2 linked regions of the Ovis aries genome follow. The protein of the gene in region 1 purifies or fractionates together with the protein of each later gene. This does not show direct contact. Links are inferred from orthologs where the notes say so. Each region holds a gene or a part of one and is shown in the gene's direction. Other genes may lie near its edges.

The links. The genes of interacting proteins can lie anywhere in the genome.
Region 2: the proteins of TJP1 (region 1) and OCLN purify together in Homo sapiens (affinity purification with western blotting; 4 studies listed by BioGRID and IntAct, with this or other methods). This does not show direct contact. The link is inferred for Ovis aries from reciprocal best matches to the Homo sapiens genes TJP1 and OCLN.

What each region holds. Positions count from the first base shown.
Region 1 is NC_056071.1:26,250,273-26,257,132, reverse strand, and holds part of TJP1 (tight junction protein ZO-1), read left to right. Parts: intron 1-773; coding exon 774-924; intron 925-2,939; coding exon 2,940-3,048; intron 3,049-4,216; coding exon 4,217-4,436; intron 4,437-4,664; coding exon 4,665-4,849; intron 4,850-4,944; coding exon 4,945-5,040; intron 5,041-6,860. UniProt on the Homo sapiens protein: TJP1, TJP2, and TJP3 are closely related scaffolding proteins that link tight junction (TJ) transmembrane proteins such as claudins, junctional adhesion molecules, and occludin to the actin cytoskeleton.
Region 2 is NC_056069.1:10,386,412-10,393,888, reverse strand, and holds the start of OCLN (occludin), read left to right. Parts: upstream 1-3,049; 5' UTR 3,050-3,204; intron 3,205-3,326; exon of another isoform or gene 3,327-3,435; intron 3,436-4,261; exon of another isoform or gene 4,262-4,488; intron 4,489-7,477. UniProt on the Homo sapiens protein: May play a role in the formation and regulation of the tight junction (TJ) paracellular permeability barrier.

The sequences.
Region 1 (6,860 bases):
ATTTGTTATTAATTACCCAAAAGGGTAATCTGTAGTTACTAGTAGCCATTCTTCTGTGGCATTCTTAGTATTTGTTTCAGGAGTGTCAGGAGTTTTGACCCTGCACTGATAGTAGAGGAATTAATGTGTCTTCATTAGTTCTGCTCCATTCTTTCCAGCATGAAGAGATTAACATGGGCTCATCCAGAAAGGGTGGGTGGTGAGCATTTTGGTTTAAAGTTCAAAGGGGCCTCAGAGCAAGTAATCTGTGTGAGCTACTGCAAGAGCCCCTGGCTGTGGAGCTTGAAAAGCACTGTCTGTCAGGCGCAGTGCCTAGAGCTTGATTTTGACTCCTGGTATTAGGGAAATTTGTCAGTATACACTTCAGTTTCTACCTTTGTACAGTAGGACTTCTCAGTTATTCGGTAGAGATGATATGATATGAACTGGGATGGGAAAAATGGAACAGTTTTTAGCCATTGTTAATATATATGTATCAAAGAGTCAAGAGTTGGGAAAACATGTTTTCATGGAGTAATTTTACAGTTATTATGTAAAACAGTACTAACATATTACATTTGGATATTTCAGAACTTATTTTTGTTAATTAGAATTAAAGTGCTATTAAATCTGATTTTGAGTTCTAATGCTAAATTTTATTAAGTAAATTAGTGGTGTGGGGGAAATTTCAGATATGATGGTCCTTTGTTTTATTCTAAATATGGTTTTCATTATAGCAGTTTGCTGTAACTGTTTAAGCTTAACTCATTCAAATGAAATACTTGTTTTAACAGGCCCAGCATGAAGTTAGTAAAATTCAGGAAAGGAGATAGTGTGGGTCTTCGGCTAGCTGGTGGAAACGATGTTGGCATATTTGTAGCTGGTGTTCTCGAAGACAGCCCTGCTGCCAAAGAAGGCTTGGAGGAGGGCGACCAGATCCTCAGGGTATGTCCATGATCAACTCACATGGCTTCAGATACTTAGGTCTCCAGAGCAAGGCCTCAGACATAGCAGATCTGTTATGATGAGCTTGTAATCTGTGTGAAAGAACGTGGGGCTCCATCAGGTCTCCCCTTCCTGCCTCTGCTCACGTCTATGTTAGGTGTGTCTGCACAGTATGTGGCTTTGGTTTCATTTTAATCACTCATATCTGTAGAATGTGGAAAAACCAAGTCTTGGAGCTCACAGTGTCTCCCAGTTATCTGCAGTTCAGCTGAGCATTCCTGCTGGCTGGACTCTGCTGTGGGCCCCAGCCTGCCAGCAGGGCAGCACAGGTATGCAGCCTGTGGCCCCCCTTTACCCAGTGATGGCTCAGGTGTGCCAAGACAGGTGTCCACTGGGTACATGTGTAAGCCGCTCTTGTTCTGAAGTTTCACATCCACAAGGATGAGAGTCTAGGAAAGCCCAGCTTAGATGCAGTGTGCCAGTGGGCTCTTTGTGTTTTTGTTTCTTTTCCATAAGCAATGTTACCTAGTAACATAGTACCATCTTTATTCATCTCCTCTCTTTTTAAAATATCCAAACCTCCTGCTGGATGTACTGCATCCCATTCTAGTCGGAGGACCAGCTCTTAAGTGGGAGTTCCCGCCTCACCTCTGCTCTGCTCTCTTTTTCCTTCCTCCTGCCCCAGAGTCTGACTGCTCTGTTCTGAACTCTCTTTCCCTGCCTGTTGGTTCCTCTTCTGCCTTCTGTTGTCTTTCTCCTCCGGCTGTTGCACTTGCAGATAAGGTGGCGCCCTTCCCTGCCTGCTTGTGTCATGAGGCCGTGCGGCCTGCCTGCCACCTTCGCCACGGCTCAGGGTGGGTTTCCATGAGGCACCACCAACCCGATGGCATCTTCAGCCCTCGTTTTTCTGTATTTCTTACTCCTGTTTTAACCTTAAGTAATTACTTTCTTCTTTGGAGTCCATAATGCTGTCATTCTGGCCCTCCTACTGGATAAATGTTTGAGTTCTTTTCCCACCACCTTCTTATAATCATTCATCTGAAAACCTGGCGCATGTTCAGCAACCCCTTCTTTACTGTTGCTTCCCTGTCTCCATGCTGGGTTTGGTCACTTGAGGCAGCAGCTCGCAGTCAGAAACCGTCCTCCGAGCGTGGGGTGAGCTCCCTCAGGCTGTGGCGGCCCCCCGGTCCCCCTTCCCCTTCATACTCGCATGGAAGGAGGTCAGGGCATTCATTGGCTCAGCCTGGCTGATTTCCACTTGATGTTGTATTGACAATGTTTCTATTTTCTCAGATACAACATTGATAATTAAGTAGACCTATTCTCTTACCCTCTCCATATGCTGTTTGAAGTAATCATGTGTCATTTAAAAATATTTTCTCATTATTTATTTTTGTTTTGTATCATTAAGGTACTGCCTATTGAAACATTTTCTCTTAACGTGGAAAATTTCCAGAAGATGAATAGAAGGAAGTCTCCCTGTTACCCTGCACACAGTCACATGACATTTACGTTAGGTCCTCAGGGGTGTCTGATACGAGTGAGCCCTGGCCTGGCAGACTCTGAGCCCGTGGTGTACACATGCTCTCACTGAGGTAGCATAGCGCACACGCGTTTCCTTCTGATTGCTTCTCAGAGTCCTAAGAAGTCGGGCTCTGTTACACAGTCTGGACTTTAATTTCAAAGTTTAAATCATGAGATTTTATAATAATGAGTCATTGGAAGTAGATGTTGGCTTTCTTGGTCGGAACTGGTTGGAATTTGCAGTGTATAATCTCTAACATTGTGTGGCATTGTCACTGTTTAAATGAGTTTATACTTTAACTCACTTTATTTACTTGGTTTCTGCTTGTTACAAACTAGGGTCTTTTCTCCAAAAATAAATATTTTCACTTTTGGAGATGTGATATTTCTAGAGTAGATAAACTCTAGAAATACTTGTTTCCTGTGCAGTTAAATGTTTTTATCGTCTTAAAATATGGCCAATAGTAATTTGTGAAACGTTGTTTTAACAGGTAAACAATGTAGACTTCACAAATATCATAAGAGAAGAAGCTGTCCTCTTCCTGCTTGACCTCCCGAAAGGAGAAGAAGTGACCATATTGGCTCAGAAGAAGAAGGATGGTAAGTTACTCTCAGGAAGGTGAGAAAATAAACCTGGAGGTGCTGGACTACTTAAAAAGGAATTTTAATGTTAATGTTTTTAATAAATCACTCAAAGCTGAGTGATAAATGACTTTGTTAATGCCACGGATTTTGTCATTTAGGGGCACACAGCCTTTACACTGTGGGGCCTCCATGGTGGGTCAGTAGTAAAGAATTCTGGCAGTTTGGGAGATGCAGCTTCGATCACTGGGTCGGGAAGATCACTGGGCCTGGAGGAGGAAATGGCCACCCCCTCCAGTATTGTCGCCTGGAGAATCCCATGGACGGAGGAGCCTGGTGGTCTACAGTCCATGTGGTCGCAGAGAGTCAGACACGATTGAGTGACTAAACAGCATCACAGTCTCAACGCTGTGCTTGTGAGCACAGCACAGTAATGGGCCAGCCAGAGTCCCTGGGCTTCAGCTTAAGCTAGAGTGCCATCTGTGGGAAAATTGTATACTCTTCCACAAAGAACTGTACATGGGCAGCTTCTCAGTTTTGTATTGATGTTTTCTAAGCATTATGCTCTGATGTTTGTTGGCATTAGTTTCAAGAGAATGACTAATTTTCTGTGATTAAGAAGATGCACTTTTCATTTAGAATAGACAAGGTCTCTCATGCTTGGCACTGTTGATGTTTTGAACCAAGTAATGTGGTGAAGGCCGTCCCGTGTATCAACACTTGAGGCTGTTTGAGGTGTCCTCCCTCTGCTCACTAGGTGTCTGTACACACACCTTCTTCCAGCACATGGTTGCTGCTATCAGAAATGTCTCCATGCGTGCCAGCCCTCTCACCTGACGGGGACCGGGTTGCCCTCATTTGAGAGCCATAGTTAGCAGGAGCGTCTGTGCAGGGCTGAGGCGGGACTGTTAGGTGACTGAAGCAGGAAGCACGTGTGGCTCTGGACAAGTTGCCTGCTGGGTGTCTGCAGCAGTTTCCTCATCCAGGAGGGGGTTGCCGAGAGTCACCCGTGCCATGAGCTCACGGTGATGCCCAAGAGACAGAATATTTAGGAAGGAGCTGCTGTTAGTTGGATACAGTTGTTTTTGTCATTGCTAACGTTATCAATAGAATCTTCACCTAATGTATTCTATTCATATTAATTTCTTTCTCCACTCATTATTGATTATATTTCATTTCCATTTAGTTTATCGTCGCATTGTAGAATCCGATGTGGGTGATTCTTTCTATATTAGAACCCATTTTGAATATGAGAAGGAATCTCCCTATGGACTCAGTTTTAACAAAGGAGAGGTGTTCCGTGTTGTGGACACTCTGTACAATGGGAAGCTGGGCTCCTGGCTCGCCATTCGGATTGGCAAAAACCATAAGGAAGTGGAACGTGGCATCATTCCAAACAAGAACAGGTATGAGCGCTCCGCTGTGTCTCACAGAGCAGGTTAGGGAATGAGGAAAAGGTTTCAGCCCCACGGGGAGTCTTCACTGTACTCACCATGTCTAAGACTGACCTAGCTTTATAAACTCCTTTAATGTAAGCATTAAGGTTTACAGTCCATGTGAAGTTCTGTCCAGGGTTTTGACATTGTGTTCTACCACAAGTCTTGGTGCATTTTGTTCTGTATTCTCCTGTGTAGAGCTGAGCAGTTAGCCAGTGTGCAGTATACACTTCCTAAGACAGCAGGGGGAGACCGCGCCGACTTCTGGAGGTTCCGTGGCCTGCGCAGCTCCAAGAGAAACCTGCGCAAGAGCCGAGAAGACCTTTCGGCCCAGCCAGTCCAGACCAAGTTCCCGGCGTATGAGAGGGTGGTTCTTCGAGAAGGTAGTCTGTTTCCTGCCAACCAGCCTATATTAATGTCGGTTTGCCTAAGACAGATAAAGCATAAACTGTGCTTCTTTTTATCTGAATCTTCTCAGCTGGATTCCTGAGGCCTGTAACCATCTTTGGACCAATAGCTGATGTTGCCAGGGAGAAGCTGGCAAGAGAGGAGCCAGATATTTACCAGATCGCAAGTAAGTGATCTCGATGCAGACTTTCAGTGGGGTTGAGGGTGCTTCTTTACTAGTTACTCCTCTAAAGGTAGATCTGACCCATTCACCTAATAGAAGTAACACTTTTGTAAGTGAAAATTTGCCGCTGACCCCACGTGTTTAATTGGAGGGAAACCTGAGGGATGGTGTCCTTACTCTGCCAGGTCCCTGTCCCCCAGCCCACAGTCACATTTAATCCTGACAGTATCCCAGGGCAGTTGTTGAATGTTCACCCTGAGCGAGGCAAGCTGGGTGCACCGCCCACCTCCCCAGTTGGGGCGTCACAAGGACTACCGGTTAAGTCACTCACTCGGCTCTGAACCCAGCTCTTTCTGGCTCCAGCCCAGCTTTTTCAGCCATTAAGCAAATAGAGAACTCAGATATCAGTGTCAGAAGGTAACAGCAGCATGGTTATGCTGTTGGTCACTGCAGACATTTACAGTGTTCTGGGGTTACGTGTAGATGCCACGTTCAGATGCTGAGGAAGCAGTGCTCTAAATGCCTTACAGGGTTTGCTTGCAGATTCTTCCAGTTTCCTTATTTTAACCACCATGGTAGTTTAAATCCACAGACTTAGATACGACCCCTTAGGCCTGCTTTAATTTACATGTAAAAACTTTAAAAACATTTTTTTCTAATTAGAAATACACCATTTTGTATTTGGAAAAAATTAGAAAATTAGTTTTGACATATTCGTCATCACCCTCAATTTTTACCTTGTTGTATTTTCCTCCACCCTCCCCACCCTTCATACTTTTATGAGGTTTCATACTGTTTAGAAAAGTGTATATTCCATTTTCCTTCTTAGTGGGTAACTCATGTTTTCATTTTATTATCTATTCTATAAAAGTCTGTGGTTTGATTAGCCTTTGTTTTTATAGTTTGTTTCAAACTTATATTTTACTAATACAGAGGGTGCATAAATCTGTGCAGTTTGTTTGCTGGGTGTAAACACTCCAGTACATAGCTCTGTGTGTGTGTGTGTGTGTGTGTGTGTGTGTGCTGGGTTCATTAGAATTCCTGGAGACGGGTGGGCTCCCTGCTGCTGCTGTAGTGCTCTGACTGCCCCTGTGGTGCCATGAGCTCCAGGGGCTGGTTTACATAAGCAGGGTGTTGCCTTTGTATTTGTGTTGTATACATTACTTTTCATTTGCTTGCTGGTGAAGCTGAATGAAGACGTGTGTCCTGAAACTCAGAAGATGCAGACAAATGATAGTAAAATTTGAGCAATTTAGAAAATATTCACTTCTGATTCTCCACTCAGTTTGTTAAGTCTTTTCAGAAGAGATCTTTTTTTGGTTGTGCTTATAGATAGCACTTTGCCTAAAGAAGTTGGTGGTTATAGATACCACCCATAACCAAGCTTAAGTCTTTTTAAATTTGGGAAGAACAAGTGTGAAGACCTACAAAGTTCTGTCTTAAGGACTAATTAATGGTTACTTTAATTGGGTTTATTCTACAACCAGGAACTTAACAAAAGGGGTTCAGATCACTTAGTTATTATATACCCTCTTTGAATCAAATGAGAGTCTTTGAATTTAGAAACTGGTAGCATTTTCTCCAGCCAGAATTCCCAGGTGGTCTCCCCATCATTGCCTGTGTCCAGTGGACCGGAAGCTAGTCCTCTGTCTTGTGAGAGCCTTGTCCCCCTTATTACTCAGCCTGACCTCCGCACTTCTACGTCTCTGCCTTAAAATAGCTGGAACATTTTTGAAAACATGCATCTTAAAAAACTCACATCACTTTAAACTTAAATATTTGGACCAAACATATAATTTTACTTTGTTGACTTAAACGGAAGC
Region 2 (7,477 bases), on another chromosome or scaffold:
TGGACTGAAATTTATTAGCAATGCTGACATTCCAGGTTGGAACACAAAGTGAAGCAGGACTTAAACCTAAATTCCAGCCTTCTATATGAACTCAAAGGTTTTGGCATAGTCAATAAAGCAGAAATAGATGTTTTTTTTTTGGAACTCTCTTGCTTTTCTGATGATCCAGAGGATGTTGGCAATTTGATCTCTGGTTCCTCTGCATTTTCTAAAACCAGCTTGAACATCTGGAAGTTCACGGTTCATGTATTGCTGAACCCTGGCTTGGAGAATTTTGAGCATTACTTTACTAGTGTGTGAGATGAGTACAATTGTGTGGTAGTTTGAGCATTCTTTGGCATTGCCTTTCTTTGGAATTGGAATGAAAACTGACCTTTTCCAGTCCTGTGACCACTGCTGAGTCTTCCCAATTTGCTGGCATATTGAGTGCAGCACTTTCACAGCATCATCTTTCAGGATTTGAAATAGCTCAACTGGAAATCCATCACCTCCACGAGCTTTGTTCGTAGTGATGGTTCCTAAGGCCCACTTAACTTCACATTCCAGGATGTCTGGCTCTAGGTGAGTGATCACACCATTGTGATTATCTTGGTCATGAAGCTCTTTTTGTACAGTTCTGTGTATTCTCACCACCTCTTCTTAATATCTTCTGCTTCTGTTAGGGCCATACCAGTTCTGTCCTTTATTGAGCCCACCTTTGCATGAAATGTTCCCTTGGTATCTCTAATTTTCTTGAAGAGATCTCTATTCTTTCCCATTCTGTTGTTTTCCTCTATTTCTTTGCATTGATTGCTGAGGAAGGCTTTCTTATCTCTCCTTGCTATTCTTTGGAACCCTGCATTCAGATGCTTATATCTTTCCTTTTCTCCTTTGCTTTTTGCTTCTCTTCTTTTCACAGCTATTTGTAAGGCCTCCCCAGACAGCCATTTTGCTTTTCTGCATTTCTTTTCCATGGGGATGGTCTTGATCCTTATCTCCTGTATAATGTCAGGAACTTCTGTCCATAGTTCATCAGGCACTCTATCTATCAGATCTAGTCCCTTAAATCTATTTCTCACTTCCACTGTATAATAATAAGGGGTTTGATTTAGGTCATACCTGAATGGTCTAGTTCTGCTTTATTGACTATGCCAAAGACTTTGGCTGTGTGGATCACAATAAATTGTGGAAAATTCTTCAAGAGATGGGAATACCAGACCACCTGACCTGCCTCCTGAGAAACCTATATGCAGGTCAGAAAGCAACAGTTAGAACTGGACGTGGAACAACAGACTGGTTCCAAATAGGGAAAGGAGTACATCAAGGCTGTATATTGTCACCCTGCTTATTTAACTTATATGCAGAGGACATCATGAGAAACGCTGGGCTGGAAGAAGCACAAGCTGGAATCAAGATTGCCGGGAGAAATATCAACAACCTCAGATATGCAGATGACACCAGCCTTATGGCAGAAAGTGAAGAGGAACTAAAAGGCCTCTTAATGAAAGTGAAAGAGGAGAGTGGAAAAGTTGGCTTAGAGCTCAACATTCAGAAAATGAAGATCATGGCATCTGGTCCCATCACTTCATGGGAAACAGATGGGGAAACAGTGGAAACAGTGTCAGACTTTATTTTGGGGGGCTCCAAAATCACTGCAGATGGTGACTGCATCCGTGAAATTAAAAGACGCTTACTCCTTGGAAGGAAAGTTATGACCAGCCTAGATAGTATATTGAAAAGCAGAGATATTTGCCAACCTTTGCCAACAAAGGTCGGTCTAGTCAAGGCTATAGTTTTTCCAGTAGTCACGTATGGATGTGAGAGTTGGACTGTGAAGAAGCTGAGCGCCGAAGAGTTGATGCTTTTGAACTGTGGTGTTGGAGAAGACTCTTGAGAGTCCCTTGGACTGCAAGGAGATCCAACCAGTCCGTCCTAAAGGAGATCAGTCCTGGGTGTTCATTGGAAGGATTGATGCTGAAGTTGAAACTCCAATACTTTGGCCCACCTCCTGCGAAGCGTTGACTCATTTGAAAAGACTCTGATGCTGGGAGGGATTGGGGGCAGGAGGAGAAGGGGACGACATAGGATAAGATGGCTGGATGGCATCACCGACTCGATGGACATGAGTATGAGTGAACTCCGGGAGTTGGTGATGGACAGGGAGGCCTGGAGTGCTGTGATTCTTGGGGTCGCAAAGAGTCAGACAGGACTGAGCGATTCAACTGAACTGAACAGATACGAACTCAAATAGCAAGAACTGAAACTGCCCTATTCAGCAGCACATTAATGCAACGTATAGATAAGTGAACACATCGTTAAGTGCAGACTCTGAATTTTCCTAAACTTAACACTCCTTTGGGAACAGCCCCCAGAAGAAATGGAACAGAGACACAGAACTAGAGCTTTTTTTTTTTTTTTTAACCCTTAAACCAAAGAAAATATTCAAATCGTTTAAAACCCCTGAATAGCAGACTCTCGGTCCTGTCATAGTTAAACGTGGGGAGGAGGAGTAGAGGGCCCTGAAATGGTAATAATGTAAATCGTAGTATACCCTTAATTTTGATGGCAAACTTACCATCACCAGTATCTACAATACTTCCAACCTCACTGAACCACTCTTGAGTGACAGTCTTTTTAGCGATCCAGAGATTTAGAAGCAGTTCCTAAATTTACGCATGACATGTGAAAATCTCCCACGTCTAGCTGCTTCTTTCCAACAAAAGTTTAATAAAATTTTCGAAGCAGGAAACTTTTGTGTCCGATCGTGTCTTTCTTGCCGAAGTGCTGAGCACCCTAGAACACTTCAGGAGGCACAGTCTCTCCAGATTTCACTCGCCAAACATTCCGCAGTTGTGCCCGAAGAGCTCCGAGAGCTTTCTAGGGTGGTCCGGGACCACTCTCCCCCAGCCGGGAGCCCGAGCCCCTAGCCCCCGCCACCCCTCTGCTCTCCTTCCCCGCCCACTCGGACCGAAACGCCGCGCTGTTCCTTTAAGGCCGGACGCCGCAGGGTGTGCGGAGAAGGGCCGGTTCTTCCCGCCTCCTTTTGCACCGCTCCCTTCCCCCTCCCATCGGAGTTTCAGGTGAATGGGTCACGGAGGGTGGAGGCCGCCATACCACTCCTCCTCCGTAGCGTCCACCTCCCCCTTTCTGCTTCTTCAGACGGAGGCGGCGGGACTCCGGGGAGAGGTGGCCGGGACGCCGAGGAGCCCGCGCGGGGAGCCGCAGGTGGGGCTGGCGGGCGCCGGGCCGCGGACTTTCCGCCCCCGGGCCGGGGTTGGTGCGCATGCCCGGGGGGCAGGCGGGCCGGGTGGGCGGGGGGAGGAGGGGAGAGAGGAGGCGGAGGGCTCAGTGTCCGGCGGAGTCCCGGCTGCGCGCAGCCTCTCTGCCAGGCGGCAGGTGCGCCCTCCAGGTGAGCGCACGCCCGGGCTGCCGCCGTGTTTGGTTCGCTGAGAGAAGGTGAGAGCTGGGCGCGGCGCCGGGGGCCCCAAGGCCCCTCCGTGCCCCGTCTAGAAGGGGAGGCGCGGGGAGAGGACGCCCCGCGGTGGTTTCGGTGGCGGTTTCGCTCCAGGCTTTGGACTCGCGGCAGCCGGAGAGGCGCGGGGCGGCGAAGAGAGCCGCGCCCGGCCAGCTCGGAGCCTGCCTCCTGGGTCGAGGGGCTGCTTGGAGCCGCCCATCTGTTCCTTCCGCTGGAACTATTCAAGCCACCACCAGTGTCTAGGCGGCGTGGGCAACTTTTCGCTTTCTTGGGGGCCGGCGGGAGATTGGTGACCAGCCAGAATCCTGCGACCGGCTCTCCAGGCTGCAGCTTTTCTTTTCTTTCTTTTTTTCTGGGGACGGGGGCGGTGTCCCTGAGGAGAGAGCCTGAGCTTGAGGGCTGAAACTAGGGGGGCCGCTTGCTGGCCCGGGCGAGGCGGCTCGGACTCTGGGAGGAATCCGTTGTTATCTGCCCTCCTCTCACCCCTCTGGGTATTCCAGGCGGAGAAGGGGTGGCCGGGTTTAATCCGTGCAGTATTCCTGGAGCCCTGGGGTGGGCCGGACGGCTTTCAACCCCCTTGGTGGGAGTTGTTATGAGCCCGCGTCGATTTAAGCTGCCGGGGCGGGGATTTAATTTCTAATGAAGCTGTATTTCCAGGGAAGCCACTCATGCTTGGGATTCTCACCCTTGACCTAAAAGGCCGCCGCCAGGTGGGCGGACCTGCCTCGGGCCGTCCCTGCTCACCCAGCTGGGACTCGTACTGCCCGGTGTGCTCCTGGACACCGGCACGTGCTCCTAGCCAGATCGCCGGCCCCGCGCGCCGCCGACACGTTGCCTATGTTGGAGGAATTGTGCAGGGCAGGTGGGAGGAGGGGTCAAGATGCCCCTTGCAGTTGGGAGAGCAGCCCCGAGCCCCTCGTCTCGTATCCCAAGTGAAGCGACAGAGTCGGGGGAGAGGAGCGGCATCCTGGAGCTGGCCGGGCGACGTGCCCGCCTGGCAAATGACCCGGGACGGGGAGGAGGCAGCCTTTCAGGTTAGTGTGTGGCCCTCACGCACAACAGGTGTATTATTGAGGTCCCGGGAAAAGAGAAACCCTTCCCCATTAAGGGACTGGTCCCTTTTTTGTGATTGAAAACTACTTCTTCCCAGATGGAGGTAGATTTCTCAAACTTTTTATGTATTCCCTAGTGTAGCCCTGTTTCTTTTGCACTATACACATTTAATATTTTCTCTTCCTGGTATTTTAAAATAGGCATTTTTAAAGGTGGCGCCACAGTAATTGGTATCTCTGCAGACAAAGGAGCAGCACTGTTCTTTTTTGTCGTTTTGCATTTATTTGGTTACTGGGCACCTCTTTTGTTAGAGTGTGGAGGCGAGGAGAGGGAGATTTCCACAACTTCTAGGAAATTTAGGAAAGTGATGAGCATTGCCTCCTGTATGTAAGGTACTGTAATAAAAGCCTTTGTACTTTATGTCGTTTAATCATCCCAGCATCTCTAAAAGCTAGGTCTTATTAGAACTCCGTTTTAAAAGTGAGTAAACACCAGGGAAAGTAAATATATATATATTTAAATATTTATTTATTTGGCTGCACTGGCTCTTAGTTGTGGCAGGCATCTAGTTCCCTGCCCAGTGATGGAGCCCAGGGAGGGTTAGCCCCTGGACCACCAGGGAGCTTCTGGGACGGTGTGTTATTAAAGGGACAGTTCTTGATATTCCGGTGGAGAACCAGATTTGGGGAGTTTTTCTGGAATTCTCTACTTTTGACTAGACCCTATGGCCTCACGTAAGTGTTCCCCATCTTGCTTGATGTAAAAGTAAAACATTCTTTTCTTTTAAAGATAATGCTGTAATTTCTTATGTTTCAAAATGATGGAAGATTGCTTTCAGCCATATGAGGTAACTGATCCTATGTCCTTCACCTTCCCAAGGAGAGACCTCCCAGATGAAAGTTTTCTTTAGCTGCATTTCAAGGCTTACGTGATTAGAATATTTATTGGACTTTTTCATCCACATTACTATTTATAGAACTAGTGGTAAAAATACCTTGGTCACACCTTTTTAAAAAATTTGCCCCCAGGGTTGCAGCTGTTCTGTAATTTAGTGCTTTCCAATCTTGAATGTGGTGTGAATCACATTGAGGATCTTATGAAAATACAGATTCTGATTCATAGGTCAAAAGTGATGCCTGGAATTCTGCTTTTCTAGCACGTCGCTGGGTGATGCCTGTACAGTTTTCTCTCCCTTTCTCTCACACTGTAAGCACTTAACTACTTTTGTGGAACTTAACTTGAAGGATTATATTTCCTGGGTGTTAGTTATGTGAAGAACTTAAAGGCATTCACTGGTGGATTGAAATCCCTACTCTAATATGGGATATTGTTTTCTAAATCAAATATTGATTGCACATCTCTGTACCAGGGACTGGATCCATGGATCAGGAATAAGAGTGAAGATCAAGACAGACATTTAAGTGCTTGGGATGGTGGTATTCCTTTTGGACTGGAGAAGATTGTAGTTTTAAAAAAAGAAAAAAAAATAATTAAAGGGGAAATTTGCTCTGAAAATAAATTGGTGGTTGGGGTGAGATACTGGGAGGACATCTCTGAGGAGGTGAAATTTGAGCTAAGAACTGATCGGGAAATGCCTGCTATGTAGAAATCTGGGTGTTCTAAACAAGAAACCCTCAAGATCAAGGCCCTCCTTGAGTTGACACTTTTATTCTAGGCAGTGATTTTCAAAATGTGTGGTGTGGTTAAAAAATCATCTAGAGAACTTATTTAAAATGTAGTTTCTGACACAGAGCTAATCGATTTCAAAATCTAATTTCAAAATTTTAGGTCCTTTACTAATGATATGCCTATAACCTAAATAGAATCATTTAATATCAACTTTAAAAACACCTTAAAGGCAAATTCATGAAAGGAATGTGATCAAAAAGGAACAGACTGCCCTTAAATACAGCGTTTATTTATTTTTACTTATTGACAGTTTGCTTTAAATAATAATTTTGAAGCACAGCATTTTCAGATCTTTTTATCTTAGCTCAGTAATCTACTGAGATTATTTTGGCCAGTAAACATTTTAAAAGAGAGAACTTTTAATTTTTTTACCATCAGCTGGCTTTAAGTTTAACATACTCAGTAAGGGTCAGCTCCAAATTGGCCCTGACTCCATCCAGTGCAGCTGTTTGCCAGAGCCTGTGGCTTTTCACTTCTCGTTTTACTTGTTCCTTCGCTCAGCATACACGTACTGTCCAGATACTGTTAGTGTTGCTGTGCTGGGCATTGGGCAGCATTCTTGGACCTCTTTTGCCTATTGTCATGGCCTTAGAACTTGGTCATAGGCTGCCTTGCAAGAGCCCTTAGAAGTCAGTCCTGCGGCCCAGTGTCTTGCCGCTCCACCTCGCCAAATACCAAACAAGCTTTGCAGACACAGCATGAGGTCAAATTGTTATTTGTTGTTTTGGGAGGGTGTGTGGAGAAACTTCCTAACATTGAAATGAAATCTGACCCTCTGGAGGTTTGGTTTTTTTTTTTTCCTTAAGGAACTCTTTCTAGGGCTACAAAGACAGCTCTTCAGCTCTTTGAAGGCTGCCATAGTAGTCCTAATGTTGAGTACTCCAGGCCAAACATTTCCTGTTTTTCCAGTCATTTGTCTTAAAACATGGTTTTTCTAGATCTTTAACAATCCTAGTCTACCTCCTGAAGAGGTACCCAGTTGGAACATGATGTTCAAATTTCAGGGTTCTGCAGGGGTTTGTTTCTTTTTAATAACTGTATCATACCTAGATCTAAAGCACTAACTCTGTAAATAATGCCTGAGATTGGAATAACTTGTTAGCTTTGTTGAAATTCTGATCAAGGAAATGTACTTGTTTCCTGCACCGAGTCTTAGTTGCTGCATGTGGGATCTAGTTCCCTGACCAGAGAAATAACCCCAGCCAGCCCTCTGCTTTGGGCGTACCGAGTCCTAACCACTGGACTGCCAGGGGTGAAAGTGAAAGTGGCTCAGTTGTGTCC